Sus scrofa: one gene and its partners. The protein of the gene in region 5 purifies or fractionates together with the protein of the main gene of each other region. This does not show direct contact. Links are inferred from orthologs where the notes say so. Each region holds a gene or a part of one and is shown on either strand. Other genes may lie near its edges. The genes, in order: HIC1, RECQL4, BRINP1, EZH2, SIRT1, E2F1 and FOXO3.

The links.
Region 1: the proteins of SIRT1 (region 5) and HIC1 purify together in Homo sapiens (affinity purification with western blotting; 4 studies listed by BioGRID and IntAct, with this or other methods). This does not show direct contact. The link is inferred for Sus scrofa from reciprocal best matches to the Homo sapiens genes SIRT1 and HIC1.
Region 2: the proteins of SIRT1 (region 5) and RECQL4 purify together in Homo sapiens (affinity purification with mass spectrometry; 3 studies listed by BioGRID). This does not show direct contact. The link is inferred for Sus scrofa from reciprocal best matches to the Homo sapiens genes SIRT1 and RECQL4.
Region 3: the proteins of SIRT1 (region 5) and BRINP1 purify together in Homo sapiens (affinity purification with western blotting; 6 studies listed by BioGRID and IntAct, with this or other methods). This does not show direct contact. The link is inferred for Sus scrofa from reciprocal best matches to the Homo sapiens genes SIRT1 and BRINP1.
Region 4: the proteins of SIRT1 (region 5) and EZH2 purify together in Homo sapiens (affinity purification with western blotting; 3 studies listed by BioGRID and IntAct, with this or other methods). This does not show direct contact. The link is inferred for Sus scrofa from reciprocal best matches to the Homo sapiens genes SIRT1 and EZH2.
Region 6: the proteins of SIRT1 (region 5) and E2F1 purify together in Homo sapiens (affinity purification with western blotting; 3 studies listed by BioGRID and IntAct, with this or other methods). This does not show direct contact. The link is inferred for Sus scrofa from reciprocal best matches to the Homo sapiens genes SIRT1 and E2F1.
Region 7: the proteins of SIRT1 (region 5) and FOXO3 purify together in Homo sapiens (affinity purification with western blotting; 4 studies listed by BioGRID and IntAct, with this or other methods). This does not show direct contact. The link is inferred for Sus scrofa from reciprocal best matches to the Homo sapiens genes SIRT1 and FOXO3.

Annotation. Positions count from the first base shown.
Region 1 is NC_010454.4:48,166,664-48,170,830, reverse strand, and holds the start of HIC1 (hypermethylated in cancer 1 protein), read right to left. Parts: upstream 2,801-4,167; 5' UTR 1,733-2,800; coding exon 1,696-1,732; intron 1,361-1,695; coding exon 1-1,360. UniProt on the Homo sapiens protein: Transcriptional repressor. Recognizes and binds to the consensus sequence '5-[CG]NG[CG]GGGCA[CA]CC-3'. May act as a tumor suppressor. Involved in development of head, face, limbs and ventral body wall.
Region 2 is NC_010446.5:290,206-294,128, forward strand, and holds the end of RECQL4 (ATP-dependent DNA helicase Q4), read left to right. Parts: coding exon 1-25; intron 26-401; coding exon 402-485; intron 486-568; coding exon 569-748; intron 749-821; coding exon 822-1,001; intron 1,002-1,071; coding exon 1,072-1,186; intron 1,187-1,296; coding exon 1,297-1,559; intron 1,560-1,637; coding exon 1,638-1,908; intron 1,909-1,982; coding exon 1,983-2,112; intron 2,113-2,190; coding exon 2,191-2,348; intron 2,349-2,423; coding exon 2,424-2,604; intron 2,605-2,684; coding exon 2,685-2,835; intron 2,836-2,941; coding exon of another isoform or gene 2,942-2,964; coding exon 2,965-3,073; intron 3,074-3,155; coding exon 3,156-3,280; 3' UTR 3,281-3,423; downstream 3,424-3,923. Other genes in the region: MFSD3 (major facilitator superfamily domain-containing protein 3), read right to left, coding at 3,543-3,716, 3,790-3,905. UniProt on the Homo sapiens protein: An ATP-dependent DNA helicase which unwinds dsDNA with a 3'-overhang in a 3'-5' direction. Does not unwind more than 18 bp of dsDNA. May modulate chromosome segregation. The N-terminal domain (residues 1-54) binds DNA Y-shaped DNA better than ss- or dsDNA.
Region 3 is NC_010443.5:259,384,105-259,387,604, forward strand, and holds part of BRINP1 (BMP/retinoic acid-inducible neural-specific protein 1), read right to left. Parts: intron 990-3,500; coding exon 753-989; intron 1-752. UniProt on the Homo sapiens protein: Plays a role in neurogenesis and brain development. May suppress cell cycle progression in postmitotic neurons by inhibiting G1/S transition.
Region 4 is NC_010451.4:109,383,686-109,387,815, reverse strand, and holds the start of EZH2 (histone-lysine N-methyltransferase EZH2), read right to left. Parts: upstream 2,801-4,130; 5' UTR 2,678-2,800; intron 2,654-2,677; exon of another isoform or gene 2,630-2,653; intron 1-2,629. UniProt on the Homo sapiens protein: Polycomb group (PcG) protein. Catalytic subunit of the PRC2/EED-EZH2 complex, which methylates 'Lys-9' (H3K9me) and 'Lys-27' (H3K27me) of histone H3, leading to transcriptional repression of the affected target gene.
Region 5 is NC_010456.5:71,089,738-71,093,966, reverse strand, and holds the start of SIRT1 (NAD-dependent protein deacetylase sirtuin-1), read right to left. Parts: upstream 2,801-4,229; 5' UTR 2,786-2,800; coding exon 2,374-2,785; intron 401-2,373; coding exon 284-400; intron 1-283. UniProt on the Homo sapiens protein: NAD-dependent protein deacetylase that links transcriptional regulation directly to intracellular energetics and participates in the coordination of several separated cellular functions such as cell cycle, response to DNA damage, metabolism, apoptosis and autophagy.
Region 6 is NC_010459.5:37,187,319-37,191,607, forward strand, and holds the start of E2F1 (transcription factor E2F1), read right to left. Parts: upstream 2,801-4,289; coding exon 2,796-2,800; intron 2,741-2,795; coding exon 2,629-2,740; intron 2,505-2,628; coding exon 2,112-2,504; intron 1-2,111. UniProt on the Homo sapiens protein: Transcription activator that binds DNA cooperatively with DP proteins through the E2 recognition site, 5'-TTTC[CG]CGC-3' found in the promoter region of a number of genes whose products are involved in cell cycle regulation or in DNA replication.
Region 7 is NC_010443.5:74,738,173-74,741,672, reverse strand, and holds part of FOXO3 (forkhead box protein O3), read right to left. Parts: coding exon 3,236-3,500; 3' UTR 3,201-3,235; intron 1-3,200. UniProt on the Homo sapiens protein: Transcriptional activator that recognizes and binds to the DNA sequence 5'-[AG]TAAA[TC]A-3' and regulates different processes, such as apoptosis and autophagy.

The DNA of each region.
Region 1 (4,167 bases), on a different chromosome or scaffold from region 5:
AGCGCCGCCTCCTCCTCCTCCACGTGCGCCTCCACGTGCGCGTTCAGCTGCTCCGAGCTGGGGAAGCCCTTTCCGCAAGGGATGCACACGTACAGGTTGTCACCGAAGCTCTCGGGCTCGCCGTAGGCCAGGTGCGGGCACGGGTAGCCCTCGAGGTGGCCCGCGGGCGGGCTCGGGTCCTCGCTGCTGCCCGTCTCCTCGCTGCTGCTCTTGTAGTCGTCGCCGTCGCCGCCTGCGCCAGGCCCGTCCAGGCTGCCGGGGTAACGCGGCGGCGGCGCCAGGCCGAGCGGGGGCCCCCCGGGCGAGGCGGCCGGGTCCCCGCCGCGCTCCTCGCAACGCTCGCTGGGGGAGCCGCGCTCGCGGCCCAGGTCGTCGCCGTAGCTGCCCAGGCCTGGCTCGTGCTTCATCCAGCGATAGAGGAGGCTGGGCCCGTCGGGGCGGCCGGGGGGCTCGGGTCCCGGGCTGCCACTGCCGCGGAACGGGTCCGGAGGCGGTCCGGCCTCCTCCAGCTTCTGGAAGGGCAGCGGCGGCAGCGGTGGAAGGGCGAGCGGCGGCTCCTTGTAGGCTGCGGGGCCGGCGCTGGGAGGGCTGTCTGGGCGCGGGGGCAGTTCGCGCTCGCCCGGCGGCCGCTCGGGGGGCGCGGAGCCCGGCGGGCTTTTCTTGGACAGGTCCAGGCCACAGAGCGGGGAGCAGCGGCGCTCGGGGGCGCACAGCGCGGCGGCCGGGCCGGGGCCCGAGGCGTACAGCTCGGCGCAGTGCGTGTTCACCGCGGCCTCGGGGCCCGACGGCGGCTCGGCGGTGGGCGGCGGCGGAGGCCCGGCCGGGGACGAGTAGCAGGTCTGGATGACGGGCGTGGCGGCCCGCAGGCCCCGGCCCGGCCTCCCGTAGGGCGCGTAGCCGCCGCCGCCGCCGCCGCCGCCCCGCAGGTGGCAGTACTTGCCGTGGCGCTTGAGGCGCTTCTTGCACAGCGCCACGAGGTCGGGGATTTGCAGGTAGCTGGCGGCGGCCAGCACGGCGCCCAGGCTCGGCTCGGCCCCCGGAGCCACCGCCGCCGCCGCCGCGGCCTCTGCGCCGTCAGCCAGACGGCCGGTGTAGATGAAGTCCAGCACCAGGCGGAACACGGCCGGGCTCACCATGTCATGATCCAGGTTGAGCAGGTTGTCATGCACCACCAGGGACTTGAGGTAGGCGCTGCTGGCCGCCAGCACATTCTTGTGCGCGCGGAAGAGGGCGTTCTGCACCACGATGATCACGTCGCACAAGAAGCCCTTGGTGCGCTGGTTGTTGAGCTGCAGCAGCAGCTGCCTCGAGTGGCCGGGAGCCTCCATCGTGTCCAGCATCGTCTGCCCAGCACAATCTCCTGCAGGGACACACACCGGCCGGGTCAGAGCCGCAGCCAGCCCTCGCCGCCTGCACCCAGCCCGGCGCTTCTCCCCTCCACTTCCCCTTCCCCTCAGCTGGGCAGGGGCATCGAGCACCGCGGCCTGGGCGCTGGCGGAGGATCCGCGGCCTCTGGGAGTGGGAGCCTGGGCCGGCCGGCCCGGACCAGGAGAAGGAGTCGAGACTGGCTGGTGGAGAAGAGGCCAGGCTGGCCTGCGCCCCCGGGCCCGGATGCCGCCAGGCGCACGGCCTGGGTTCTGGGGGCTTCTGAGGAGAAAGCTGTTGGTGCGAAGTCACCCTTTGGGAAACAGTTACCCGATTTGAGGAAAATGTCCGCTTCAGGAAAAGTCATTCAAGGCCGAGAAGTTTGCCCAAGTGGGATATAAGGGAGCCGCGTAAAAAAGCGCCTCCCGCCTCGGGAGAAGTTGCCCCAGTTGGGGAAGTGGTCCGTAGGAGGGGAGCGCGGTGCCCGTCGTGGCGCCGCCCTGGCCGGGGGCTGTCAGGCCCTCTCCGTTGGGCCCCGGGCGGCGGCCGGCGCGCGGGGAGCGGAGGCAGCGGCTGCCGTGGCGGGCAGAGCACGAAGGCCGGCCCGGCGCGGGGAGGGCGTTATATCGGGGCAGGAGGCTGAGGCAGGAAGCAGGTGGGGGGAGGGGGGAGCCACGCAGCTCCCAGGGGAGGGAGGGGGCAGCGCCCCGGGCGGGCACGGCGCACAGCCGGCTGCGGCCCTGACCCTGGCTGCGCCCCACCCGCGTCCCGGCCCTGGCCTCGGCCTCCTCTCTGCATTCGCCGGCCCGGCGCCTCCCTCCGCAGCTCCCCTCGGCCCCTTCTCCACGGGAACTCCGCCGCCCCAAACTTGGGGAAAAGTTTCCCAACTTCGGGCTGGCCGGGAGGAGCGCGCCAGGCCCCGTGCCTCGGTCGCAGCTTTTCCTCTCGGCCCCCAATTTCGGCAGAGCCAGGCGCTGCCGGGCCTGAACCGAGCCCAGAACTCCCCGGCCGTCCGCTGCCCGCCCGACCCTTCTCCCCGCCTGGCCCGCAGGGCCTCGCGGCCCGTTACCTGAGGCCGCAGCCCAGCCGGGCTTCCCTCCCGGCGGCGGTGGCAGCTCCTTGCCGGCGCCCCACCCGCCCCGCTGCCAGGCGCCGCGCTGTGCCAGGGCAGCGCCCCTGCCAGCCCCGCCCGCCAGCTCCCCTTCCCTTCCCCTCGCCTCTGCAACCCATGTGCGGGCAGAGCCGGGCCCGGGCCGCTGACCCCGCCATGAACCCGGCGCAGAGTAGCGTCCCGGCGGTCCTGAGTTCTCTAGGAGCGACACCCGGAGCCCTGAACGCCAGCCGCGTTGGGGCGCCCGCGCCGGAGGATGCGCCCGAGGCGGCCAGCGCGCGAGGACCGGGCGTGTCCGGGTCCCCTGTCCCTCCCGGTCCCCAGCCCGAGGACCCACCTGGGGGGCATGTCGGAAGCCCCGGGCCCGGCTGCCGGCGGATCCAGGGGGGACGTGGCTGCGCTGCGCTGCCCTCCGCCCTCCGGGCCCCCGGTCGGTCTGTCCTGCTGGTCCGTCCTCCCCGCGTCCTGGTCGCGTCTCAGCCCCGCTGCTCTTTCCGCACACTCTTATCTGGAGCGGCCCGGGCCGGCAGGCGCCGCTGCAGCTATGGCGCCACCTCGCGGCGAGACTTGGCGCGGCACAGCCGCGACCTCCCTCCTGCGCACCTGGGCTGGAGGATCGCAGATGCAGGGCTGGCGGAGGCGGGGGCGGGGGGGGCTGTTCGCAGGTTCAGCCTCCCAGATGTGCCCATCTGGAGACCCAAGCCTCGGACCTGCGAGCCCCACAAGCCTCGGGATTTTGAGCTGAATGATCCCATGTACATATTTCTAAATTCTCAAATTGCCCCAATTCAGAGAAGTCTTGCCCACAAGGAGGAGACTCTGGTGAAAGTAGATGGTGTAAGAGAGGTTCCGAAAATCCTAAGGAAGAAAAAGATAGACAAGATAGTAGGGTACCCCCTAGATATTCCTGGGTGGGACTGTCCGTTTGTACCCACCCACCCCCTCAACACACCCTCCCTCACTCAACCCTGTGGGTATGGTATGCACAGAATAAACCCATCTGCACCCAGATCCTCTCTAGGCATTGACACTCGAAGGCGCTCATGTTTGCATACACACCTGCCCCCTTACGAAGTCCCGGCTTTCTGGCATACTCAGGGGGCTGCCATGTAGAGCCCTCTGTGACCTGGGCAGAAGTGGTACCCAAACAGTGCACGCTGAACTTGCATATCTCTGGAGGGACCCCAGGATGTGTGACAGGGGAACGGCTGGACAGAGCCTCTTGGGTGGTCCCGCAGAAGAGACCTAAGCTCCCAGATACCCTGTGCGAGCCATTTTTGAGGTACGCGCAACGGTCTTACAGCAGGGCCTGGAGCCCAGGATCCCCCGCAGGGTCCTGCACCCCCAAGTGAAGGCCCATTTCCTGCAGGTGACGCCCCTTCTAGGAGGGAGGGGACCCCTGCACTGGTGAGCGGGCAGTGGCACAGCTACTCCGGAAGTGTACCGCGCCGCCCCGCCATCACGCCAGGCCTGAAGCCAACGCCTGCGTGGCTGAGTGGATCTCCTCAACCCACGCTCCGCCTCCTCCCCGCACCTCCTGACCCCCGCCCACACGTGGAGGGTGGGAGTGGGTTCCGAGAAAGCCTGCAGCTTTTGATTGGCTGTGCCTCCCTCAGCCGCGGCGCACGAGAAGATGGGGCGCAGAGTTACCATAGTAACCGATGAGGTTCGCCCAGATCGCGTCTCTCCGA
Region 2 (3,923 bases), on a different chromosome or scaffold from region 5:
CCTCATGTCACTCATGGATGACCAGGTGGGTGGACAGGGCCCCTGGGCACATGCAGAAGGTGAGAATGGGTAGCCACCGCTCCGTCAACCTACTTGGGCTGTTGGTTCTTGCTCTGCCCCACCCAGCGCTGCAGAGAGCCTGGCTGTTCACAGCCCCAGGCCCCCCAACAGGAGGAACGGCACTGGGGGAATGACACCCCCCCCCCACTACCTGTCTATTCCTGGTGCTCCTGCATCAGGCCCGCAGGTGGCTCTGAACCCTGAGTCGTGGGACCCAGGATCTAGGTTTCTTCTCCTCAGAGGGCCCGAAGTTGAGAGAGCAGTGGTTGGCAGGCCAAACCATCCTAAGAGTTGTGTGGGGAAGGGCCAGGGTGGGTGGCATCATGCTCCTGTATCTGCAGGTGTCTGGCCTGCCCCCAGGCCTGAAGGCGGCCTGCATCCACTCAGGGATGTCGAAGAAGCAGCGGAACTCTGCCCTGCAGAAGGTAAGGGGGCCTAAGGGCCAGATGGGCAGAGGGAGCAGTCCCCTGGAGGCCCTGTGCAGTTGTCCTGACCTTGCCACCCTCAGGCTCGATCAGCCCAGGTACAAGTGCTGATGCTGTCGCCAGAGGCGCTGGCTGGGGCAGGAGCAGCGGGGCTTGCCTTCCTCACCCAGCTGCCCCCGGTTGCTTTCGCCTGCATCGATGAGGCCCACTGCCTCTCTCAGTGGTCTCACAACTTCCGGCCCTGCTACCTGCGAGTCTGCAAGGTAAGCCTTGAGGGGACCGGTGAGTGGGCCAGGGAAGGTGGGGTGGTTGTCCTTACCACCCGCCTCCACGCAGGTGTTACGGGAACGCGTGGGTGTCAGCTGCTTCCTGGGTCTCACGGCCACGGCCACGCGCAGCACTGCCCTCGACGTGGCTCAGCACCTGGGTGTGGCTGAAGAGTCTGTCCTCAGGGGGCAAGGCACCATCCCTGCCAACCTGCACCTCTCTGTGTCCATGGACAGGGACCCAGACCAGGTAAGTGGGTACAGGGGCCCAGCCAAGGTCCTGCTGCCTGGCTGCAGAGACAGACCGTGCTCTCTCGCAGGCTCTGGTGACACTGCTGCAGAGTGACCGTTTCTGTGCCCTGGACTCTATCATCATCTACTGCAACAGGCGAGAGGACACCGAGCGTGTCGCTGCCCTGCTGCGCACCTGCTTGCGTGAGACCTGGGCCCTGGGACCCGGAGGTTGGGGTAGCGGGGCAGGGCTGTGCCCCACAAGACCGCTGTAGGCACGCTCCCCACCTGACCATCTGTGCCTCTCCCTGCAGGCTGGGCCCCAGAGGCCGTGGCTGAAGCCTACCATGCAGGCATGTGCAGCCGGGAGAGGCGGCGGGTGCAGCGGGCCTTCATGGAGGGCCGGCTACGGGTGGTGGTGGCCACGGTTGCCTTCGGGATGGGGCTGGACCGGCCAGACGTGCGGGCCGTGCTTCATCTGGGGCTGCCCCCAAGCTTCGAGAGCTACGTGCAGGCTGTGGGCCGGGCTGGGCGCGACGGGCAGCCCGCACACTGCCACCTCTTCCTGAGGCCCCAGGTGAGCATCCACCCGCTGGAGCTGCCCAGCGCCCCCCCCTACTGCAGCCCTTCGTTCACGGTGGCTGCTCTGCTGCAGGCTGAGGACCTGTGGGAGCTGCGCAGACATGTGCACGCCGACGCCATCGACTTCCTCGCCGTGAAGAAGCTGGTGCAGCACGTGTTCCCTGCTTGCGGCCACGCTCAGCAGCCCCTGGTGCCTGAGCCAGGCGAGAGCCAGGAGAGCTCGGCGGCCACAGTCCCCTGGGATGCCGACCACCCCCACGTGGAGCTCACAGCCCGGTGCCCGGGCCACGAGCGGGCACTCCCAGTGCAGCCAATGGTGCAGGCCCTGGATGTGCCCGAGGAGGGTGAGAAACAGGGGCCGTGTGTGGCCGGGGCGTCCCCATGTCCCCACGTCCCCTGAGCCCTGCTCTGCCCCTAGCCATTGAGACCCTGCTCTGCTACCTGGAGCTGCACCCACAGCGCTGGCTGAAGCTGCTGGAACCCACCTATGCCCGCTGCCACCTGCGCTGCCCTGGGGGCCCCACCCAGCTCCAGGCCCTGGCCCGCAGGTGACTACACTTCCCCCTGGGCTGGGGACAGGGACCAAGGACCAGGCTTCCGATCACATGCCCCCTTCCCTGGCTCAGGTGTCCTCCCCTGGCTGCGTGCTTAGCCCAGCAGAGCCCTGAGAACACAGCTTCTGTGGAGTTCGATGTGGTGGAGCTGGCAGACTCCATGGGCTGGGAGCTGGCCCCCGTGCGGCGGGCCCTCCGGCAGCTACAGTGGGACCCGGAGCCCAGGACAGGTGCGCCTGCCCCCCAGCCCTGCTTGCGGTGGGCTTACCTGCCCACCTGCCCATGTCTAACACCCTGTCTGGCAGGTCTGCCTCGGGGCACGGGGGTGCTAGTGGATTTCAAGGTGCTAGCCTTCCACCTGCGCTCCCCCGGGGACCTGACCGCCCAGGAGAAGGATCAGATCTGTGACTTCCTACATGGACGCGTGCAGGCCCGAGAGCGAGAAGCCCTGGCCCGCCTGCACCACACCTACTGGGCTTTTCACAGGTGCTGGAGGAGGTGGGCGGGGCCTGGGCCACCCCACCCACCCCCAGGTGGGCAGACCTAACTAGCCCATGCCACCCCAGCGTGGCCTTCCCCAGCTGTGGGCCGTGCCTGGAGCAGCCCGATGAGGAACGCAGTGGCAGGCTCAAGGCCCTGCTCCGCCGCTACTTTGAGGAAGAGGAAGCAGGTCCAGAGGGCATGGACCAGCAGGGCCCCGAGCCAGGCCAGGCCACGGTGAGTGCCAGGATCTCCAGGGAAGGTCAGGCCGTGGCAGGCATGAGCGTGCGTGCACTGTGCGCACACGGGTACACACTCACTCCCTGCCCTGTGCCGCGGCAAGACTGATGTGTCCCCCACGGGCAGCTCCAGGACTGGGAGGCTCAGATCCGACGGGACATCCGCCACCTGCTGTCCTCGTGGCCTGAGCAGCAGTTCTCAGGCAGGGCTGTAGCCCGCGTCTTCCACGGCATTGGTGAGGACCTGGGAGGCACAGCCTGGAGAAAGGCAGGGGCTGGCAGCCAGAGTCCCCAGGGCCACATCTCTGTCCACCGCAGGGAGTCCCCGCTATCCAGCCCAGGTGTACGGGCGGGACCGGCGCTTCTGGAGAAAATACCTGCACCTGAACTTCCACGCCCTGATGCACCTGGCCACAGAGGAGATCCTGCTGTGGGGCCGCTGAGTGGCCTGCTGGGGGGACCGTGTCAGCACAGCAGAGATGAGGCATCGGCGGCCAGAACACTGTGTAGCCCCTCTGGACAAAGCCTACTGCCGGGGCGCGGGGGCAAGGAGGCCTTAAAGCAGAATAAAAGATGCTCACGTCTTTTTTAGGGACCTTCCTTCCAGTGGGGACAACCCCACAGTCTGAGGACAACCAAGCACATCTCAGTCCAGACACAGGCCTCGGGTCCACTCCACTTTATTGACAAGGCCAGCCACCCGGCTCAGGCCAGCGTGCTGGGTGCAAGGCCTAGGCACAGCATGGGTGTGGCTGAGAGAGCGAGGAAGAGGAAGAAGCAGAAGCGCAGCCCCAGGCTGTCAGCCAAGGCTCCGGCCAGCGCGCCCACCAGCAGCTTCCCCAGCAGCTCCAGAGTGGCCAGGAGGCTGTAGTGTGTGGCCTGGAGATTTGTGGAGATCAGTCAGGACCTGCTTGGACTCCAGTCCCGTGGCCCGAATGTCCCAGCCACGTACCCTCACCTGCAGGGCACTGGGTGCCAACTGGCTGCAGCGCATCATCAGGGTGAAGGTGGTGGTTGTGACCAGGCCTCCCAGGAAGTGCTGCAGACACAGGCTCAGCAAGGCTGCCCCTGGGGGTGCTGAGGTCA
Region 3 (3,500 bases), on a different chromosome or scaffold from region 5:
AGGCGGCCCCTCCTGGCTACACTGACCTCCAAAGCCATGCGATCTGCTCCCAGGAGCTCCTCACTCCTGACACACCTATGATAAGCAGGTCACAATTACCTGCATAGTTATAGGGTACATGCCTGGATTTCCCACGTACCCTATAACCCCAGGAGGAAAAACCCAACTCTACACCTTAACTACTGTATGGCCTTGGGTGGCTAACTTTCCTCCCCTGTTCACTTTTCTTAACCATGAAAAGCAGGACACAGCCAAGTGACCTGAAAAGTGACTTCCAGCTGTGAAAGTCTGAGAATTCTTCGAATATCTGCATAAGTATCTACATACCTATGTACATATATATATATGCATATATACAGACATATTTGTACATATACGTGTGTTCATTTATTTAGACAGATAGACAGACACGCACACACATTCAAGAATCAATATAACTACCTGTGACTTCTCTCTTCAGGGGCTTCCTATGTGCTGTGCGGCATAATCCCCTCTGTCTTCTGGGTACCACAGAAGCAATACATCACAGGACCACAAACCTGATTATGCTATTCACCACTCCACTCAGTGGAGATTTATTGAGTGCCTACTTGTTGACCGCTACTAGAATGACTGGACCCCCCCAAAGTGAGAGAGGCCGGGGGCCCGGGAGATGTCACTGAATATTCCGCCAGCCATCCTAACTCCAGTTTGTTTCCTTCTATAGACTTGGCACGAGGCCATGCATGCAGTAGTACCGTGAGGCTCTCTACCTGAATTCTCCAAGTCCTTGTAAGCTTCGGCCCAAGACTTGGCCATGTTGGCCAGCGTGTACTCCATGATCTGGATGTCGGTGATGGGGCAGTTGCACTGCGGGAACTCCTCCGCACACTGGCATCTACACTGGCTGTCCTGGCACACGTACTCCCCCTCACCGTTGCACATGATGTAGCTCAAGGCTGACTGGACAAACTTCTCTTGCAGATACTGAGGGAAGATGATCTGAAGACCTGATTGAGAATAGTGAGAAGGGGGGAAAAAAGGTTAGAAAAGGTGTTTCATTAACAGTTCCGAGAGGTGATGGGTGGAAACCTGAAGCTGCTGGCTTGCTCCTTGTGTGTTGTAATCGCACGATTTCTGGGCCTGCCTAGATGCACGCAGGGCATAATTGGCGAGGCCTCCAGTTGCCTTGCTTCTACTTAAACTTCTCAGGTCGTGACCTTGGCCATCCCTGCACTGCATAAACTCTATTCCGTGATATTAGGACTGAGGCTGGAGCCAGATCTGTTAATATACTTTTTCCATTTGGGGAGAAAATCCTTATTGAAAGCACAAGATTATTGTTTATTTTTCCTTATTTCCTTCATTTCTTTCCTTCTAATATTTATAAACCCTATTTATGAAGCCCAAGTCCTGAGCTAGGCATGAGGTCTATCAAGATGAAAAAGACATGATCTTTGCCCTTGGGGAGTTTGCAATATAAGCAGCAGGGGTGGGCATGTACACACGTCATCATAACTAACACCGCTGTAGAAACCCAGAGCAAAACTGGCCTTATGAGGCAACAAGACAGCAGAAGCCTGCAAATAAGATTGCTGGGTTAGCAGGGCAAACTTTGAGAGGAGGTAATATTTGGGCTGGTTGAAAAGTGAATACGAGATTGTAATGTAAAAAAGATCAGGTAGCACATTCTAAAGTGGGGCGGGGGCAAGAAGGAAGACTTAACGTGTCTGGGAATTGCTGATGAAGGACATGAATTTGGATGGGTGGAGGTGCAGTGCTGGAGGAGAATAGGTTTTAGAAAAGGGCAGATGCCAGAGGGCAAAAGGCACGTCTTTATTACGTGCGAAGGAACTTGGATTTCCTCTATGACTAACAGGGATACTTTGGTAGTTTTCCAGGGTAAGAAGATATACATAAAGTTATAGAATTTAAGAGGACCACTGTATCACACACACCCCAACATCAGTGGAGAATGGCGTCCAATTAATTTTCTCTTCTTTGCTTAATGAGGAGGGCAAAACCCACCAAAAGGAAATGAGTAGCTCATGTTTATAGGAGGAATTCTCTGGACCACAACGCATGATCTTTTCTCCACACTTGACTAATCCAAGTCCTAATCTTGAGGACCAATGATGGAGAAGGACTTATCTGGGCAGGCGTGCTGCTCTTGTACCTATGAAATGTCAGCACAGCAGGCCACTGCTGATGGTGCCCCGAAACAAAAAGACAACGCTGGGCTAAATTGATTCGCACAAGCACTTTCACCTGGGACATTCTTCTCCCCTTCTTTTGGAGGTGCTGACAGTTTTAGCCAGCAATGCCTATATTGGGGTTTTACTACCCACTGTGTAAAAGAGAACTGTGATATTTGGATTAACTTTTTTTCTCATTCATGCTTCAGGGACATCCCTAATCCTCCTCATCAGGGATTTGCTGAATAAACTCAGCATTTCTCTCGCTCTCTACTTCACAGTTGCGTTTCTAGATTTTTATCTTTCTCTGGCTTTCAAATTACTTTAAAAAAAAAAAAAAGCCTCATCGTTTCTACCTTTCTTCATACGGCAGCTAAAAAAGACTATTTTCAGAGGGGCCGTGTGGAAAAGGAGACTGGGCCTCCAGCGTGTCTTCTGGTAGGAATCCATCATCCAGTAGTTAAGAGCTGGGCATTGCTAGAGTCAAGTTCCTCCACTTAACTACTGACGTCATCCTATTCAACCTCTCCAAGGCTCCGCTTCCTCTTCTCTAAAACAGAGATGCTTTTGATACCGACGTTAGAGGGTTGCTGAAAGGACGAAGTGAAAGAATTCTTGAGAATTGTCTAGAACAATTCCTGACACAGAGCAAGCAAACAATAAATGTGATTTATTCCCATTTTGGATGACAATAGTGATGATGCCATTCCTCTGATGAAAGTGTGTGTGTGCTTTTTTTTTTTTTTTTAAGTTTCAACCCAAATTTCAGGATAAATAAAGGAACAATAGCTGTGAGTATTTAATCAGAAGAAGAACATATCCCGAGGGCAGTGTTTAGGTCCTTGGAGAGCTTCTACAAGGAGGAGGGGTTGGGATTCTGTGCCTGTTGCACCAACGCTGGTGGGAACGCTAATTAGAAAGATAGATCCTCTGTCAATATGCATGGAAGGCGGAAGGTTTTCTAACAGACAGAGGTGTCCAGGCTGGGAGATGTTCCACCGCAAGGCTGGGCGAGTTCCACCCCAATGAGCAAAGAGTCCAAACGAATTTGAATCATTGCTTAGAAGGGCTCTTGTATGATACAGATTCCTAAAGGTCAAGCAAACCAAATCAAGCAGTAACGTCCTTCTACACCAAGTCAACGATTTTTTCAGAGTATGCATTATTGAGTCATTTTATCTGTATTGCCATTTTTGCTTCCAGAGCAAGATGTATTTTTAGCCGATCCCAATCCCCTATAGGCATCTGAGTCTATGGATTGGGGTTAAGTTTCAGTTGCTTAAAGAAACTCTATAGACTATATTCTCAGTCCTATTTTTCAAGCTT
Region 4 (4,130 bases), on a different chromosome or scaffold from region 5:
CAAATCCACTGGTCATTTCTAATTAACCCCAGAATGCATGAGATCAGAGGATTTTTTTATTGCTGTTGATTTTTTAAAAAATCAACTTTCTTAATTACCGCTTTTTAGGCCAAGATGGAAACTAATTCGTTCTCCTTAAGCATGCCAGCTCAAAGGATGGAAGATATCCTAGAAAGCCTCAGTGTAACCTGGGGAAATCTGCCTAAAAATTTTAAGTGGCCAACACAAAGACAATCACCTATATGTATGTGTGCAAGGCAAAGCTGATATCAAAGTATTACAGCTTTTTTGTGTGCCTAACTTCACTAAATCAACAAGTGTGGTTTTTTTAATCACTGCTACTTAAATACATTTTCAAATCAAATAAAAAATTAAAAACCAATTCCCCCAAAAAAACTTAAAAATAAATCTTGTGGCAACTACAAAGACAGTAATTGCCAAATATAGTGTACACAAACAAGTAAGGAAAAACTGCAATTTCTTATCCTAAAAGATCCAAATATCTACCAAAATCTCCCTAACTAGCTCATCTTATAACAAGAGGCCAGATTATCAGGAGGACTTTTTAATAGATAATTACTAGCAACTAATACAGTAAACAATACTTAGGACAGCACCTGGAATGTCTGTTCAGCGGTGTCTAACACTGCAAAATATGTAATAAAGACTTTTACACTGCATTTCTTTGTCTCCATATTTATGAAACCGTAAGATGGTAGGGTGAACATTAGATCATCAGATAGAACAATGCAAATCGGTGCTATGTTCCTAAATTCCTCTTCTTTGAAGATATTCCCCTGCCACAAAGACTAGAATTTAAGATGCCATTTTCCTAAGTGTTTTCAAGAACTTAAGCATTAAATTCCCAAATACACCACCACAAAGAGAGAAAGGATTCTTTACATCCAGGACTAGAACCCTACCTACTCCTAACTTTAGGTAATATGAAAAGGAAATTAAAATAGGTCATAAATACTTTCATTTTCTTGAAATAAAATTATCAATAAACTTGTTAGGATTACACACTTGTTCTACATTTTATTTCCAAACATAAAATAGTTGCTAACGGTGATGAATGAAGAGTAGTGGAAAATAAACTCCAAACCCCCTAGCTCCCTGGTGGTCTAATGGTTAGGATCCCACACGCTCTTAAAATCCCTTAGAAGTATAGCCTACATTCAACTGTATCAGCATTAGTGTTTTTTAAAGATTTTCTTAAATGGTGTTTTATGTGACATTAAAAAGCCACAAAATTAATCCGATAAATGACCTTTAAAACCCAGAAAGTAAACCTTGAAGTAAAATATTTTTAAATACCAAAGACATATCTTTGTTTCCAAATGACTTAAATTTTACAGATCCTGTGTGACAAACAAAGGAAGTTTAGCTTAACTGTGGACAGCACACGTTCAATTTCTTAGGCAACAAACATTTCTGTAGTCAGTCTTTTCTGACTCAACAAAGCTATTGTTCACGGAAAACAAGACCAATTAATGACGAATTGCTAACCAGACCACCTAAACACACATTTGTCATAAACATTTTGCTTGATCAATTCTTTCTACCATCGCATCCTCATTCAATCCCTGGGGATTTGGAGAATAATCTCTTACTAAATGACAGTTGATTTCGTTAGCACCTGTCGCCAGTCTCAGATGTATCACATAAGTTGGCCGAAAGAGCATGTAATTTTTTAAAAAAAATATGATTCTTTAGAAAGCGGGAACTCAGCAGGCGTGAGTTCACCAAGTTTTCATTTCAAAATATCATGCTTCTCGATTCCTCCAATTTTCAAAAAGGGACCTGATGGCACCGACTTTTTTTGGGGGGGTGGACAATGACGCGGAAACTCGACGAAAAGCCCTCCGAAACGAACAAAACCGAGCGGGGGGAGAACGGCTCGACCCTTCCTCAAACTTAACAGAAAGCCAGCCGAGGGGGTAAAGGCGGCCGGGACCGCCTCGTCAGAGCGGGTGGAGACGAGGGGTTCGGGGGTGCTTTCCGGGGAAATGTCAGACCCGCAGCCGCTCCGAGTTCGGTTCCCAGCGCCGCCCCGGCCCCCTCGGCCCCGGCCGAGCCTGCGCGCTCGCGGGGAGGGGGCGTGGGGCCCAGCCCGCCCCCTGCGCCGCGGCCCGCGCTCCCCACGCCCCTCTCCCGCCCGCTGTCAGGCCCGGGTGTCACTGCCCCTTCCCCGCGCCGAGCTCCCCCGAGACACAGTCCGTCCTTTGTCTGAGTGTGCACTCGGTGCCGAGGTCCCACCAACTTGTGTGCGTCCCGTCCCACCCGGGCGCTCCCGCCGCGACGCTCCACACAAAGGAGACAGGGGCTCGGGCGGCCGGCCCGCCCCGAGCACCGGAGCGCCCCCAGCCCAGCCGCCGCGCCTCCCGAAGGGCGGGCGCGCGAGAAGACCCCTCGGCTCGCCCCCCAGGGCGCCCGCCCGGGGTCCCGCCTTAGGTCGCCAGGTGCGGCGCTGCCCGCCCCCGCGGTCGCGCGGGCCAGCCCAAAGCCACGGCCCCTTCCGAGGGGTCTCCTCTCACCCCTCCAGCCAAAGCGGCGCCCCGGGAAAGCCCGCTCTGGGCGATACCCGGAGGGGTGGCGGGGATATCCCGGCGCCGCCGCCGCCCCTCACCGAGCTTCGGAGCCCCGCTGGCCGGCCGGCCCGACAGCGGCACGCTACCTGAGCCCCGCGCCCCAGCCCGCTCCGCTCCCGCGCGCCGCTCCCGCGCGCCACCACCGCCGCCGGGCTTCCACCGCCTTCTGCGTCCCAGTGGGTGTCGGACGCTCCCGGACCAAGCGCCAAACCCGGCAGCCCAATCGCCATCGCTTTTATTTGGCCCCCCCTGTCCAACTAAGCGCCGCCCCGATTGGCGGGCCGCGAGGCGGGCTCCCGTCCAATCACAAGGCCCGCCGGGCTCCGTGGCGGCGAGCCAGCCCCACGCAGAGGAGCCCGCGGGACTCAGCCGGGCCGGGCCGGCGGCGCGTGCGCGCGAGCGGGCGGGCGCTGAGGGACGCGGCCGCCGAGTGGAAGCGCTGCGCCGTCTCTTTGTTCTTTCGCCGAACGCACGGCGCCTCTCAGGAAGGCGGTGGGTCGGCTGGCTGGGACGATGGGGCCTCTGCAGCCCGAATCCCGGGCCGCGGGCGGGAGGCGGCCAGGGCAGGATGGCGGGAACCGACCAGGGGGCGGGACGGCGCGCTCGCGGCGCTTGGCGGGAACCGCCGGCAGCCTCAGAGTTCCCGGGCCGGAGGGGCGGGGCGGGGCCGATAGCCAAGTTTGAACCAGTTCAAAACTCGGGGGTGGTAACGGTTTCAACTGCCGCGCTCTTTTCCCCGCGCGCGGAGCCGAAGCGCAGGCCGGCCGGCGGACGCGCGCGAGGTACCCCGATTGCCGGCCAGTTACGCTCTGCGGTCCGGGCTCCAATCTGGTTCGTTTCGGGCGAGGAGCCCCGAGCCTTTCGCGGTCTGGTCGGACTGGCGCGCCGCCTCCGGTGCGAGCAGAGCGCTCTGCCAGCTACTTTTTCTGCTAAGCCCCTCAGTGGCTTGGCCCGACTCAGATCCCCTGGCCCGCTGGACTTTGGTTGGTCGAGGCCGCAGTGCCCATCTCCTTAGAAACCTGGGAAACAGCAGCCCTACTGTTATTTCAGTTTCCTCATTCTGAGCGCCTTGTTCGGCACCTTCCAGCGTTTGTAGTTCCAAACACGTGTCAACGTTAATCATTTATCAGGGGTGAGTGGGGTTCACTTGCCTCGAGCTAACGCCTCTGGAAAAAATTGGGATGATTGCAGCATCTTTCAAGTGTTAAAAAAAAAAATGATCTGCGGGTGAGCCTGTATCAACCCATAAGAATTAGAAATATTCTGTTTAGGATGCAGTTTCCCCTTTTAATTTATCTGACAGTGAAGGTAAGGTTATTCTGAATTTTCTTTTTTTTCTTTTTAGGGCCTCATCCGAGGCGTATGGAGTTTCCCAGGCCAGGGGTGGAATCCGGCCTACACCACAGCCACAGCAACTCAGGCTCCAAGCCGTATCTGCGACCTACTCCACAGCTCAACAAGGCCAGGGATCTAACTGCAACCTCAGGCATGGTTCCTAGTTGGATTAGTTTCTGCTGCGCCACGGGATCTCCTGAATTT
Region 5 (4,229 bases):
AAAAAAAAAGACCATTTCACACAGAGGGCCCAAGTGTAAAGGCCCACAAGTGTGAGAAGGACCTGGTTATTTGAGAAATACCAGAGGTCAGCTTAGACAGGCCCATGCTATTTAGAAACAAAAGCAGTTCAAAGCTCTACCTTCCCTAGAAACAAGCTGATAGTAAATTTCGTTAAACACCTAAGAACCTCATCACCAGACCATAAGGGGACAGAGAATTTTATTTTTAGTTGACTTAAAAAGAAAATACTAAAAAAGATAGCTTAGGCTGTGAAAACCATACCTATCCGTGGTCTTGGAGTCCAGTCACTAGAACTGGCATGTGAGGCTCTATCATCCTCATCACTTTCACAAGAATGGAAACCATTGGTGACGATTTCATCACCAAACAGAAGGTTATCTGCAAAAGAAGCCAAAAGTAACTCAAGGCTGATGAAACAATCTACCATTTAAAATGTATGAATAAGAGAGTTCCTGTTATGGCACAGTTGGTTAAGAACCCAACTAATATCCATGAGCAGGTCGATCCCTGTCCTCCTCTGAGGGTTAAGGATCCAGAGTTGCAGTGAACTGTGGTGCAGGTCAAAGATGCAGCTCAGATCTGGCATTAGTGTGGCATCGGCTGGCAGCTGCAGCTCAGATTCGACCCCTGGCCTCGGAACTTCCATATGCTGCAAGTGCAGCCCTAAAAAATAAAATAAATAAATAAAATGTATGAAGAACTGTAATGATTATGATGTAAGAATTTCCAATGAATAAAGCACTTGGGAGTTACTACTGTGGGGCAATGGGTTAAGCCTGTACCTGCCTGGGTTGCTACTGAGATGCAGGTTGGATCCCTGTCCCAGTGCAGTGGGTTAAAGAATCCCATTCCGCTGCCTTAGTATAGGTCTCAGCTGTGGCTTGGATTCAGTCCCTAGCCTAGGAGCTCCCATAGGCCCAGGTTCGGTCATAAAATTTTTAAATAAACAAAGCACTTAACATTCACACTGAGTGTGTAAAGAATGCCTACTGAATCAGCTTGCATCATTCCCAGGAACAGTATATCCTCATCTTTAGGGATCCTGCCCAGAATCTAAGTTAGAGTTCATCAAAATTGAGCAAGAAATTAAGTCTACTTAAAAATACAAAAAGTAATAAATAACCTAGTTAATTGGAATTTGTCGATCACAAATAATAGAATTCAGGAGTTCCCGCTGTGGTGGAGTGGGTTAAGATCTCAAGTTGTCGCTGCAGTGGGGAGTGTTGGATCCCTGGCCCAGGAACTTCGACATGCTGCAGGTGCAGCCAAAAAACTCCAAAAAACTTATTCAAAGGTGGTGCAAATATAACTACGGCAACTTGCATATATGTACATGTAAAAATACATTTATAATACATAATACTAAACATACACTAAGATATTTGCACTATTCATTCCCACTATTAAACTGTTCCTTGAAAACAGGGGTCGTTTTTCCACTCCAGTCCCTAATGCACACGTCGTAAGCTTTACACAGGTCAAATGGCCCAGATTGTATTTACCAATAAAAGATTAATAAAAACACGTCTATCCAGCTAGAAAACATGACACACTCAAAGATGACGAGACATATACAACCATCATATACTGTATCTGCTTTAGTAGGTCAGAAAAGCGTCAACTCGTATTTCGGGGCTACATACACACACACAGACACTTAATCTAAAAACCACTATAAGAATATGATTTAGAGAAAAAACACTATTCACACAAAGTATTCTAAAACCTATTTCTCTCCTATGCCCTCTATTAACTGCACCAAAGTGATGCCTGTAGAAACAGCTATGCTCTTCAAATTTTGCAGGTTGTGACTTTAGAAACAGCTTTACTCTTTTAAATTTCAAAACAAGTTTATAAATAAAGGCCCTCAAAAACAACAACAAATTGCACAGGTGTCAGTTTGCAAAGTCAACTGCAAATGGTTGTTATCAGGGACAGTCAAAAGTTGCAGGTTTAACTGTGCGGGGCGAGGGGAGAAAGGGCGGAGAAGCAAAAAACACTTAACAAAAGCAATATGCTAAAAGAGTAGGAGGAAAGAGAAACTTATTTTAAAATCCACTGCGAGGCTCGCCAGCCCCGCGGCTGCGCAAAGCGCAAGGCCGCCGGGGCGGGCCTGGGACTGAGGGGAGGAGGGCGGGGAGAGGGCGAGGGAGGGATAGAGTCGACGGGCCGCTCCTGCAGCCAGGCCTGCAGCCGCGGAGGCGCGCAGCTGAGGGCCCTGGTTGGGAGGGGGACGCTACAAAGCCAGCCACGAGCCCCCAGCCTGCCCGAGACTCCCCCACCCCACATCAGGAGGGGCCCCGAGAGGAGGCGGGGGGATGCGCAGTCCCGGCCGCCCGCGCCCTGCGCACCTCGGTACCCAATAGCCGCCGCTGCCGCCGCCTCTTCCTCCTCCTCGCCCTCGTCGTCGTCGTCGTCGTCGTAGAAGTCGTCGGCCGGGGGCGCCTCCCGGGATAGGCCCTGTAAGCCCGGCCCATTGTTTCCTTCTCCTGCCGCCGCAGCCGCCTGGGCCTCCCGCTCCCCGCCCGCAGCGGTCTCCCGCCACAGCACCGCCGCCGCCGGGCAGCCGCCCGCCGCCGCCGGCAGCTCACGCTCCAAGGCCGCCCCACCAGGCTCGCCCGGGCTCCGCCCGACGCCCGGGCCGTCTCTCCGCGGTTTCTTGCGGAGCGGCTCCCCGGCGGGGGGCGACGGGGCCTCCCTCTCAGCCGCCACCGCCGAGGGGGAGCCGCCGGGCTGAAGGGCGAGCGCCGCCTCGTCCGCCATCTTTCAACTGCCTCTCTGGCCCTCCTCCCTCACCTCCTCTGCTCCCGCTCGACTCGCGGCACTGGCGCCCCCGCGGCTCCGGCTGCGGGAGATTTAAACCCCGTCACGTGACCCGCCCCTCCTCGCCCCCGCCCACCCGCAGCTCCCGCCACCCACGCGGGCCGGACCACAACACGGCGGGTCACGTGGCAAGCGGAGGCGGTGGGGGCCAGGAGCAAACGCTGCAGGGTGCTGTGGCCCCACCCCTCCGCTGCAGGCGCTTCTCTCAGCCAAACTTCTCTTTCAAGCTGTCCTCAAATCACTGCTGCCCGGTTAGCTCAAGTTTTGGTTTGCACTGCGAATTTCCACTTCTGCCTAAAGTGCACACCTTGCTCTCCTCACTTAGTCTTTTCTGGACTTAACGTTAAGGCTTAAAACTTAGTTCCTGAAAGGCGATAGGGAATGAAGCTGGCCAAATAAGCTAGGTGATGGGTCTGTTTTGTTAACCTGTATGAGTAGAGGCAAAAGGACACACACCTCACTCTTCACCCTCCTCAAACCGTTCTGGCGGGTACTCTTCAGCTCCTATTTTCTGCTTGCTTCTCTCCTTAGCCGGTTTATTTTTCTCCCTCTCTCCATTACTCAGAGGGTGATATACATTGTTAGACCATTAAAAGCATGTATCTGCCCTAGAAAGAGGTTTGACGGTGGGGGGCCGGGTAGGGATCAGCCTGTTCGATTTCAGGCCCCAACTTAGCTCCAAATGTGTGTGATTTATCTTTTCTGGGCTTCAAAATGAGTATATTGGGCCAAGTGGGGCCTCATGAGGAGAGCTGAACTGAGCATGACTTGGCCCTTATAAACATCGGTTTGGTTTCGAACTTGAGGTCTTTCTGATTGACCTTGAGCCATTTATTTAGCCTTTCTACACCCACTGTCCTAATCTCTGCAATGGTAGAGTTGTGCTGAGAATTAAGGTAGCGGGTTCTCTTGTGGCACAGTCTTGGGATCTAGCGTTGTTACTGCAGCGGCTTGGGTCAATCCCTGGCCCCAGAACTTCCACATGCAGCAGGTCAGGCTGGGAAAAAAAAATAGTTACATAAGATTGCTGGATATAAAGTGAGGGCTAAATAGAGCTAAAATATTAGTCCTGCCCTACTTGAAGGCCTTCTACTTTCCACTTTTCCTGACATTCCAGAACTCTTGTGACTTCATAGCCTACCTTAACTAAGGATGTGTTATAGTATGGCCAAGTTTGGTAGGCATCTGCCTCTGCAGCATGGCGTTTCTAGCCACTGAAGGGACCTCTCTGAATTTACAATAAATCAGCCCTTAAGCTTAAAGTGGGTCCTGCCTCTACCATGCCAATTACTTGTTTGAACTTAAGAAAGCAATCTAAGATGTTTCCTCCTTTAAAAAAAAAAGTTATAATTTCGAAAATGTATCTCCAATGTCCCATCTAAAC
Region 6 (4,289 bases), on a different chromosome or scaffold from region 5:
CGGTGAATGCTCACCTGTGCAGAAGCTGAGTCTGTAGCTTGTTTCATGGGCTGCCCCAAACAAATGCCAGTGCCGAGGGTCAGTGGAGGCCAGAGCTCAGGTGGCCAGTGGCTACCGAAAGGTACAATGTTCAAGGCAAAACCTGGGCCCATGTTTCTCAACTTCAGCTCCAAGACAGCACCAGCCCCCACCCCTGCCCACGGCGAAAAATGTCTACTAGCCCTTAAGCACTGAGGGGCAGAGGCTCCTTACCTGCCTCTGCCTAGTACCTCATAGGCACTCACCAACAAGTGCTGAATGAAGGGAATGCTCAGGCCCACTGAGGCTGCCCCCGGCACCATAAGGAGTGGAGCACAGGGCATGTCTTTGGCCCAGTCTCTGGCTGTCCCTCTGAACCTAGAGCTCAGACTGCCGAGGGCAGGCCCCACAGCCAAGTACTATCAATTAGCTAAATGGAAGCTACCTGTCCAGGCCCCAAGCTGGTACTTGCAGTAACAGGTTGCTGAGGTGCAGGAGACCAGCCAAGCGACCCACCCCGGTACAATTTCCATCCCCCTCACTCATTAGGAGGAAGGGGTCCTGTGCTTTCATCAACCTCTATTAGCATCTCCAGGAAGCGAGGCATCCTAGTGGTTAACCACTCAGGAAATCTGGACTGGTCTCACAACTCACTAGCTGAGTAACTAGGGAAGGTTCTAACCTCTCTAGGCCTCAGCTTCCCGACCTGGAAAAGGGGAAAGTTGTTGAGAGGGTTAAATGAGTTAATTGGGTAAAGTGCTTGGCACAGGGCCTAACACACAAAACAGTCTCAAAATAATGGTGGCTGCTATTGTTATTATTAGCATCTTAGTGATTCCGGAAGGAAGGCCACACTGGGCAAGGGGCCAGGGGGACTGGGGGAACCTTGGTGGGATGCCTCAGGGACCAGCTGCCACCCAGTCCCCCAACAGTAATTGGGCAGATACTACTTCCTTGCCCTGGGCTTTGCCTCTCCCCTCCCACTTGCTCCAAGCCCTGTGCTGAGACCCCATACTGCTTGGCTGGCCCCTGCCTGCCCATCCATGCCCTACCCTTACCCACAGGCTGCGCCAGTCAAACTGGTCTCCACACCCTGTCCTGCGGCCCACAGGTCCAAGCTCCAGGCCTCCACCCCCTTCTCCCCCTGTAACTCAGCGGTCTCTTCTGAGCCCCCCCCCAATCTGAATTGGTCTTAAGCCTCTTGCTGCTCAGGGAGCACTTTATCAAGGCATCTCCCTGGGGCATTTACTCTTTTCTAGCACTGGGGGCCTCCTCTCCAGCTCCCAGAGGCCCAGCCCACCCAGTACTTCCACTGGGGCCAGGGGTCTGCCTGCCTGATTAATGAGCTTCCATGGCAACCAGAGTCTGGGAGGGTGGAGGGTGGCAGATGGAAGGACAGGCAGAGGGAGGGGAATCAGCAGCTGGCCCAGCCACCCCGCCCCTGCAGAGAAGGCCTCCCAGCCAGGCGGCCTGTCCCCAGAGGCCCGGAGGGCTAGGCCTGCACCTGGCAGTCCAGCATCCAGGCAGGAAGGAGGGTCTCCTCAATGGCCCTTCAACTTTCTGGTCCCAGAACTTTCCCCTGACTTCCCCAAGCAGCCGTGCCCACCATCCAGCCACAAGTTCTGGTCTGAAGCCAGCAGGCCTCAGTTCAAATCCCACTTGCAGCCTTGTGACCAGGGGGCAAGCCACTTCCCCTCTCTGGGCACAGTTCAGATGGGCACAGTGACAACACAGAGCTAGCTCACAGCATGGATGTGAGTTTTAGCTGCCTTGAAGTCTGCCAGAGGCCTGGCAGGCAGTCAGCAACAGCTGAATACACGTGGGCCATTATTATCATTGAGTCTGACCCTAGACAGGCTCCAGCGAAGAAGCTGAGGCCCAGAGCACAGAGGAGCAAACAAGGACTGGCCCGAGGTCACCCTGCACCCCGGGGCGGAGCCCGAAGGCCCAACCCAAGCTCGGCACCGCCCAGCCTGGGCGCCTCAACCCACCCTCCCCCGCCCTCGCCGCCTCCAGGCCAAACATAGCGCCCCGCCCGGGTCTACGCCGGGGTCCAGGCAGCGCACTTGGCCCAGTGTCCCTGGTGTCCGTACCGGCGGGCGGCCGAGCGCGGGGCGCGGCGCGCTGGGGGTGGGCCGGGGCGCCTGCGGCGTGGCGAAGAGCAGCAGGTCGGGGTCGCGGGGGCCGGTGGCGGGCGCGGCGGGGCCGGCGGGGGCCGCTGGGGCGCTGGCGTCCTGCGCGGTGGAGATGATGACGATCTGCGAGGAGTCGAGCAGCCGCAGCGCGCCGGCCCCGAGCAGGGCCTCCAGCGCCGGCGCGCATGGGCCGCCCGCGGGGGCCACGGCCATGGCGCTCACGGCCCGCGCGGCCCGGGTGGCAGTCGGCGGCGGCGGCGCGGGCCCATGGCAGCAGGCCGAGGCGAGGGCTCGATCCCGCTCCGGATCCCGCTCCGCCCCCGGCCGCCGCTGCCTGCAAAGTCCCGGCCACTTTTACGCGCCAAATCCTTTTTGCCGCGAAAGAGCCACGAGCCGCCGAGCGCTGCGCCTATTGGCTGTCCTGGCTGTGACGGAGGCGACGGCGACGGCGCCCATTGGTTGCAGCGCGCCGGACCGGCGGCGGAGGGCGGGACGGGGCGGCGGCGCGAGGAAGCACCGCCAATCGCAGGATGGGGCGCGCGCAGGCTTTGTCGGGGCGGTGCCAGGCGCGTTCGCACTCCCCGCCCCTAGAGGGGACGGCCCTGTGTGGGGAGTGGTGGCCCCACCCCCTCTTCGACGCACCCCATCCTGTTGATACCCTTTAGTGGAGGCTTTTACAACAGAACGTGTGTTGTGCACAGATCGCTATCCACAGACCCCACGTGACCTCCCAGAACCCCCACCTGTGGGTGCTCCAACACCCTCAGGCCATAACTCTAGAAACTGCAAACGCAGTTTCTCTTTTCCAGGATCTCAAGCCCACCTACAAAACCCCAGCCACATCTTTCCTCAACTTGCCCCACCAATGCCATTTACTTTCAAATCCTGCGCCCACCTTATCCCTTCCACCCAGAGCACAAGCAGAAGGAGTTGCCAGAAAATGGAGAGGAATGTCTGACCCAGTACAGCTTGGGGCTTTTCTCCAAAGCCTCCTGTAGCTGGAATCGCTTCAACAACCAAAGCACAGCTTCTGCTTGAACTGATTCCTTCGTTCATTCAACAAACCTTTTTTTTTTTTTTTTTTTTTTTTTTTTGCTTTTTAGGGTACCCCCTGGAAGGTTCCCAGGCTGGGGGTCAAATCAGAGCTGTAGCTGCCAGCCAAGGCCACAGCCACAGCAACATCAGATCTGAGACCTGTCTGCCACCTACATCACTGCTCACCACAACGCTGGATCCTTAACCCACTGAGCAAGGCCAGGGATCGAACCCACAACCTCATGGTTCCTAGTCGGATTCATTTCCGCTGAGCCACTTTGGGAACCCCAACAAATGTTTTGAGAGTCTGCTCTGTGCCCCCTTCTTGACTCCTGGCCCTAAGGATCTAACAGTTTAGTGAAAGGGGCTGGAGGGAAACTGAGGTAACAAATGTTTACATATGACACAGATTTCAACTATTAAGGTAATTCCATGTTAGATTTTACAAAGGGAGGAGGTGAGTGTGCTGAGCAACCAGAGGCCACAGGACCTCCCCATCAGCCACTTCTCATTGCTCAGTTCAGCTGATTTGAGTTATATTGTCCTCTCCTCTGTGCCAGGCTTTGTGCCAGCGCTGAGGGCAGATATGTGAAAGGCTTGATAATTTCTATGAACTTGCCTGCCATCTGGTGGGGATGGGCCCATCAAAAAAAAAGTAGCTGGAGTTTCCTCTGTGGCACAATGGGATCGGTGTCATCTCTGTAGTGCCAGGATGTAGATTCTATTCCCAGCCTGGCACAGTGGATTAAAGGATCGGACTTACCACAGCTGTGGTGTAGGTTGCAACTGTGGCTCAGATCTGATTCCTGGCCTGGAACTCCATATGCCTCAGGGTGGCCAAAAGTGAAACAAACAATAAAAGGTAGCTAAGATGCAATCAAGAATGAGATCCCTTACGGATGTGATAAATTCATTGAGTAATAAAAAAATAAGATTTAGTACTAAAAATAATAATAATAATAATAAAGAATGAGATCCCTAGGCCACAGTATAAATATCACTTCTTCCAGGGAGCCCTCTGGTACTGGAGTTACTTCTTCCCTTGCCCAGCACTGACTGCACACTGGACTTCTCTATCTGCTTCCTCTTTCAACTGGGAGC
Region 7 (3,500 bases), on a different chromosome or scaffold from region 5:
ACTTGACGGCTCCCACTCAGGGTCCTGTGACTTTAGTTAGCAAGTCAGGAAGTGGGGCTGGAGAATACAACAACTATTGGCTTCAATCAAAAAAAAAAAAAAGTCAGGAGTTCCTGTTGTGGCTCAGTGGTTAACGAATCTAGGAACCCTGAGGTTGTGGGTTTGACCCCTGGCCTTGCTCTGTGGGTTAAGGATCTGGCATTGCTGTGAGCTGTGGTATAGGTCACAGACATGGCTTGGATCCCATGTTGCTGTGGCTCTGGTGTAGGCTGGTGGCTATAACTCCAATTAGACCCCTAGCCTGGGAACCTCCATAGAGAAGACAAAAAAAAAAAAGTCAGAGTTTCCCATTGTGGCTCAGCAGAAACAAATCCAGCTAGTATCCATGAGGATGCAGGTTTGAGCTCAGGCCTTGCTCCGTTGGTTAAGGATCCTGTGTTGCTGTGGCTGTGGTGTAGGTCAGCAGCTGTAGCTGTGACTCGACCCCTAGCTGGGAACTTCCAAATGCTTTGGGTGCAGCTCTTCAAAAAAAAAAAAAAGTCAAATCAAAGAAAGCCATGACAGAAGAAGGCTTGGGAAGCTGGGCTGCTAAATTTGGGAGAAATGAGTTTTGAGACTATGACCTAAGGCTTGCCTTGTGAATTTAGGAGAAACTTCCATAAAGTGATGGCATGAATTCAGTGTCAAAGTAAAGAATCTATATTAGGCCACATATGCTCCCAGCTGAGAGGAGCAGTTCATTCCAAAGCAAAATGGAAATTGTACACTCAGAAACCAAGCCTCCCTCAGAGGCCTTGGCTTTCTTCAGGATGTTTCCTCTCTTGCTCTGGTCATACTGAGCTGGTTTAGTTTCAGGAAAATTTGGTGACTTCCCATATATATATTTTTTTTAACTTCAGAAATATTTTCTCAAAAAAACTTCCCTCAAAATGTTTTGAGGTGACTAAACGTCCCTGTTTCCAATAGGGTATAATCACAAAATGGGTAATCTTAAAAGTAGGTAGTAATCTTAAAAATATGTGTAGTCTCAAAAGCAGTTTATTATCAAAATAGTAATGATTCATTAAATACATTTTTAAAAGTTAAGTATTTAAATCTCCCTTAAAATGTTTTTATACAATCTTTTAGAATTACACACACACACACACGAAAGGTCTGCTCTTCAGCTAAGAGGAAAACCTACACTTGAAAAGTCAGACAAAAACCGACAGCACATTTTCTTCTCTCAGTCTTTTCAGTGAGCTAGAATGTGGATGCCTTACAACGAAACCAAAATTAAAACCTCCTTGGGTCTTTAGAAGCCACAATCACATTTCTCTTCTTAAAGGAAGACAAACTATTCTTCTGAAAGCCAAATATCTGAATTTCTCAAGGCAAATCTCCCCCATTCCGAGTTTTGGCAGCATGAAAGTGTGTCACCCTATTTGGCTTCTGTTGCAGTCTTTTTACCATCTCAAGGGCTATTAAATGACTGGAAACAGATGTCTGAGAACCATTAGGGGCCTGCTTCTGCCTGGGAAAGCAGAGAAGCTGAGCATCACAACACTCGACATTCCCTTTTCTACAACTATGTGTGAGCTGGATGGCGCACCGCAGGGACCCTGGTAATTCCTTCACCAGGGCAGAGGGTTAAACAAGGCTCAGCTTTTTATGGCTTTGAATCCCACTTCTCTTTCCCACCACTTAAAGAAGAGTAGCTTGCTGACATTTAAGAGAAAAAAAAAAAAAAAGAAAAAAGAAAAAAGAGGACCCGGGGCATAGAACAGAGCCCCCAAACATGGGAAGTAGAGTTGTGCAAGCCTGTGAGCAAAAGACCTGATGCTCATTTTGCTACTTGAAAGGGAGAGTTGTTTGAGGGCAAGCTTGTATATTATCTGCTCCTCTGGCTCCAGTTCAGAGCATTTCCCATTTTCACCATCTAGAGATAATTAGAAAGAACAACTACGGTTCAAGCCATTTCAGAAATTGGGATTCTGGGTCTAGCTGTGTGACCCTGGGCAAACTACTTAACCTTCCTGGGCTCCCTGTTTACTCATCTGTCTGTCAGTATGTTTACCTAATTACACCATACATATTTCAAACCATTGTGGTTTTAAAAGCACTTTTGCACATTTCAGTGTTTAAGGATTCCATTTTAGGGCCTTTTTTGGGGGGAGGGGAGCTGCGGCTGCAGTGTGCCGCAGCTTGATGTGGGATCTCAGTTCCCAGACCAAGGACTGAATGTGGGCCACAGTGGTGAAAGCACTGAGTCCTAACCACTAGACCACCAGGGAACTCCCAGTGCATCTGACGCTTGCAATAACCCCATTAAGCAACAGGGGTTATTATCCTCATGGTATAAAGCTGGCAACTGAGGCTCAGAGGCTAAGTGACACACTTCCGATAGCAGCCAGAAAGCAAGAGAAGTGGAACCGAATCCTCAACTTCTGATTCCAAGCAAATGCTTTTCTTTCCATATCATGTTGCATGATCTTTCTGGTTCCAACAGAATTAAAATGCCACAATTTAAAAAAATCTGTCTCCATTCACAACCCATGTCACTGTTTGGAATCTGACATCTTTTATACTTCGGGGAAAACGAAGCATGTGAAAAAGTGCTCTCTCACATAAACACTTCTGTTTTCAATTGAATTCTTTTGCTCTTTTAAATACTTAGATGCTAAGTGCTAACTAGTAAAGATGCTTAGTACTAGTGGTGAAGAATCTAACAGGTCTGGCTCCTGGTAGACATACTCCTGTATGAAAGAGTCCAGAATACACAGTCTACAGTTATATTAGAAGTACCCAAAAACTGTTACTTTACTGAAAAAGAAAGATATAAAACCCACAGCATGGAAGATCGACAATGGCAGAGCTGGACCTGAGACTCTAAGAAAGTCCACTGCTGGGTCCTTAACCTTGACATTTGTGTGGCCTAAGGTCCCCTTCCTCCTTTCCCTTGTCTCCTCATCCATCCATCCAATAGGGGGACCTGTGTCATAGGTCAGTGAGGGTGACTGGACGCAAAGAAAAACGAAAGCCTCTGGTAAAAGTCCTGAGCTGTCAGCAAACTGTGGGGAGGGGACCCTGACGGCCCTATTTGTTTTGCAGGTACAACTCAGAAAGAACCGGGTGGGAGCAGGTTACCATGCACCAGGTATACAAAAGGCGGTTCCCTACCCCCACCCCGTTACCACTACGCCACAGCACTGGGCACTGACCTGCTCTGCCCACTTCCCCTTTCCTCAGTGAGCCTTCAGCCTGGCACCCAGCTCTGAGATGAGGCCTGCTTAGCACCAGTGAAGCTCCCCACGTTCAAACCAACAACGTTCTGTGTGGAGATGAGGGAATCAAAGTTAAAATCCAACCCGTCAGCATCCATGAGTTCGCTACGGATAATGGACTCCATGTCACATTCCAAGCTCCCGTTGAACATGTCCAGGTCCAAGTCGCTGGGGAACTTCTCGTGGCCCATGACGGGAAGGTTCGCACTCGTTGAGTACAAGGAGGAGCCTGAGAGG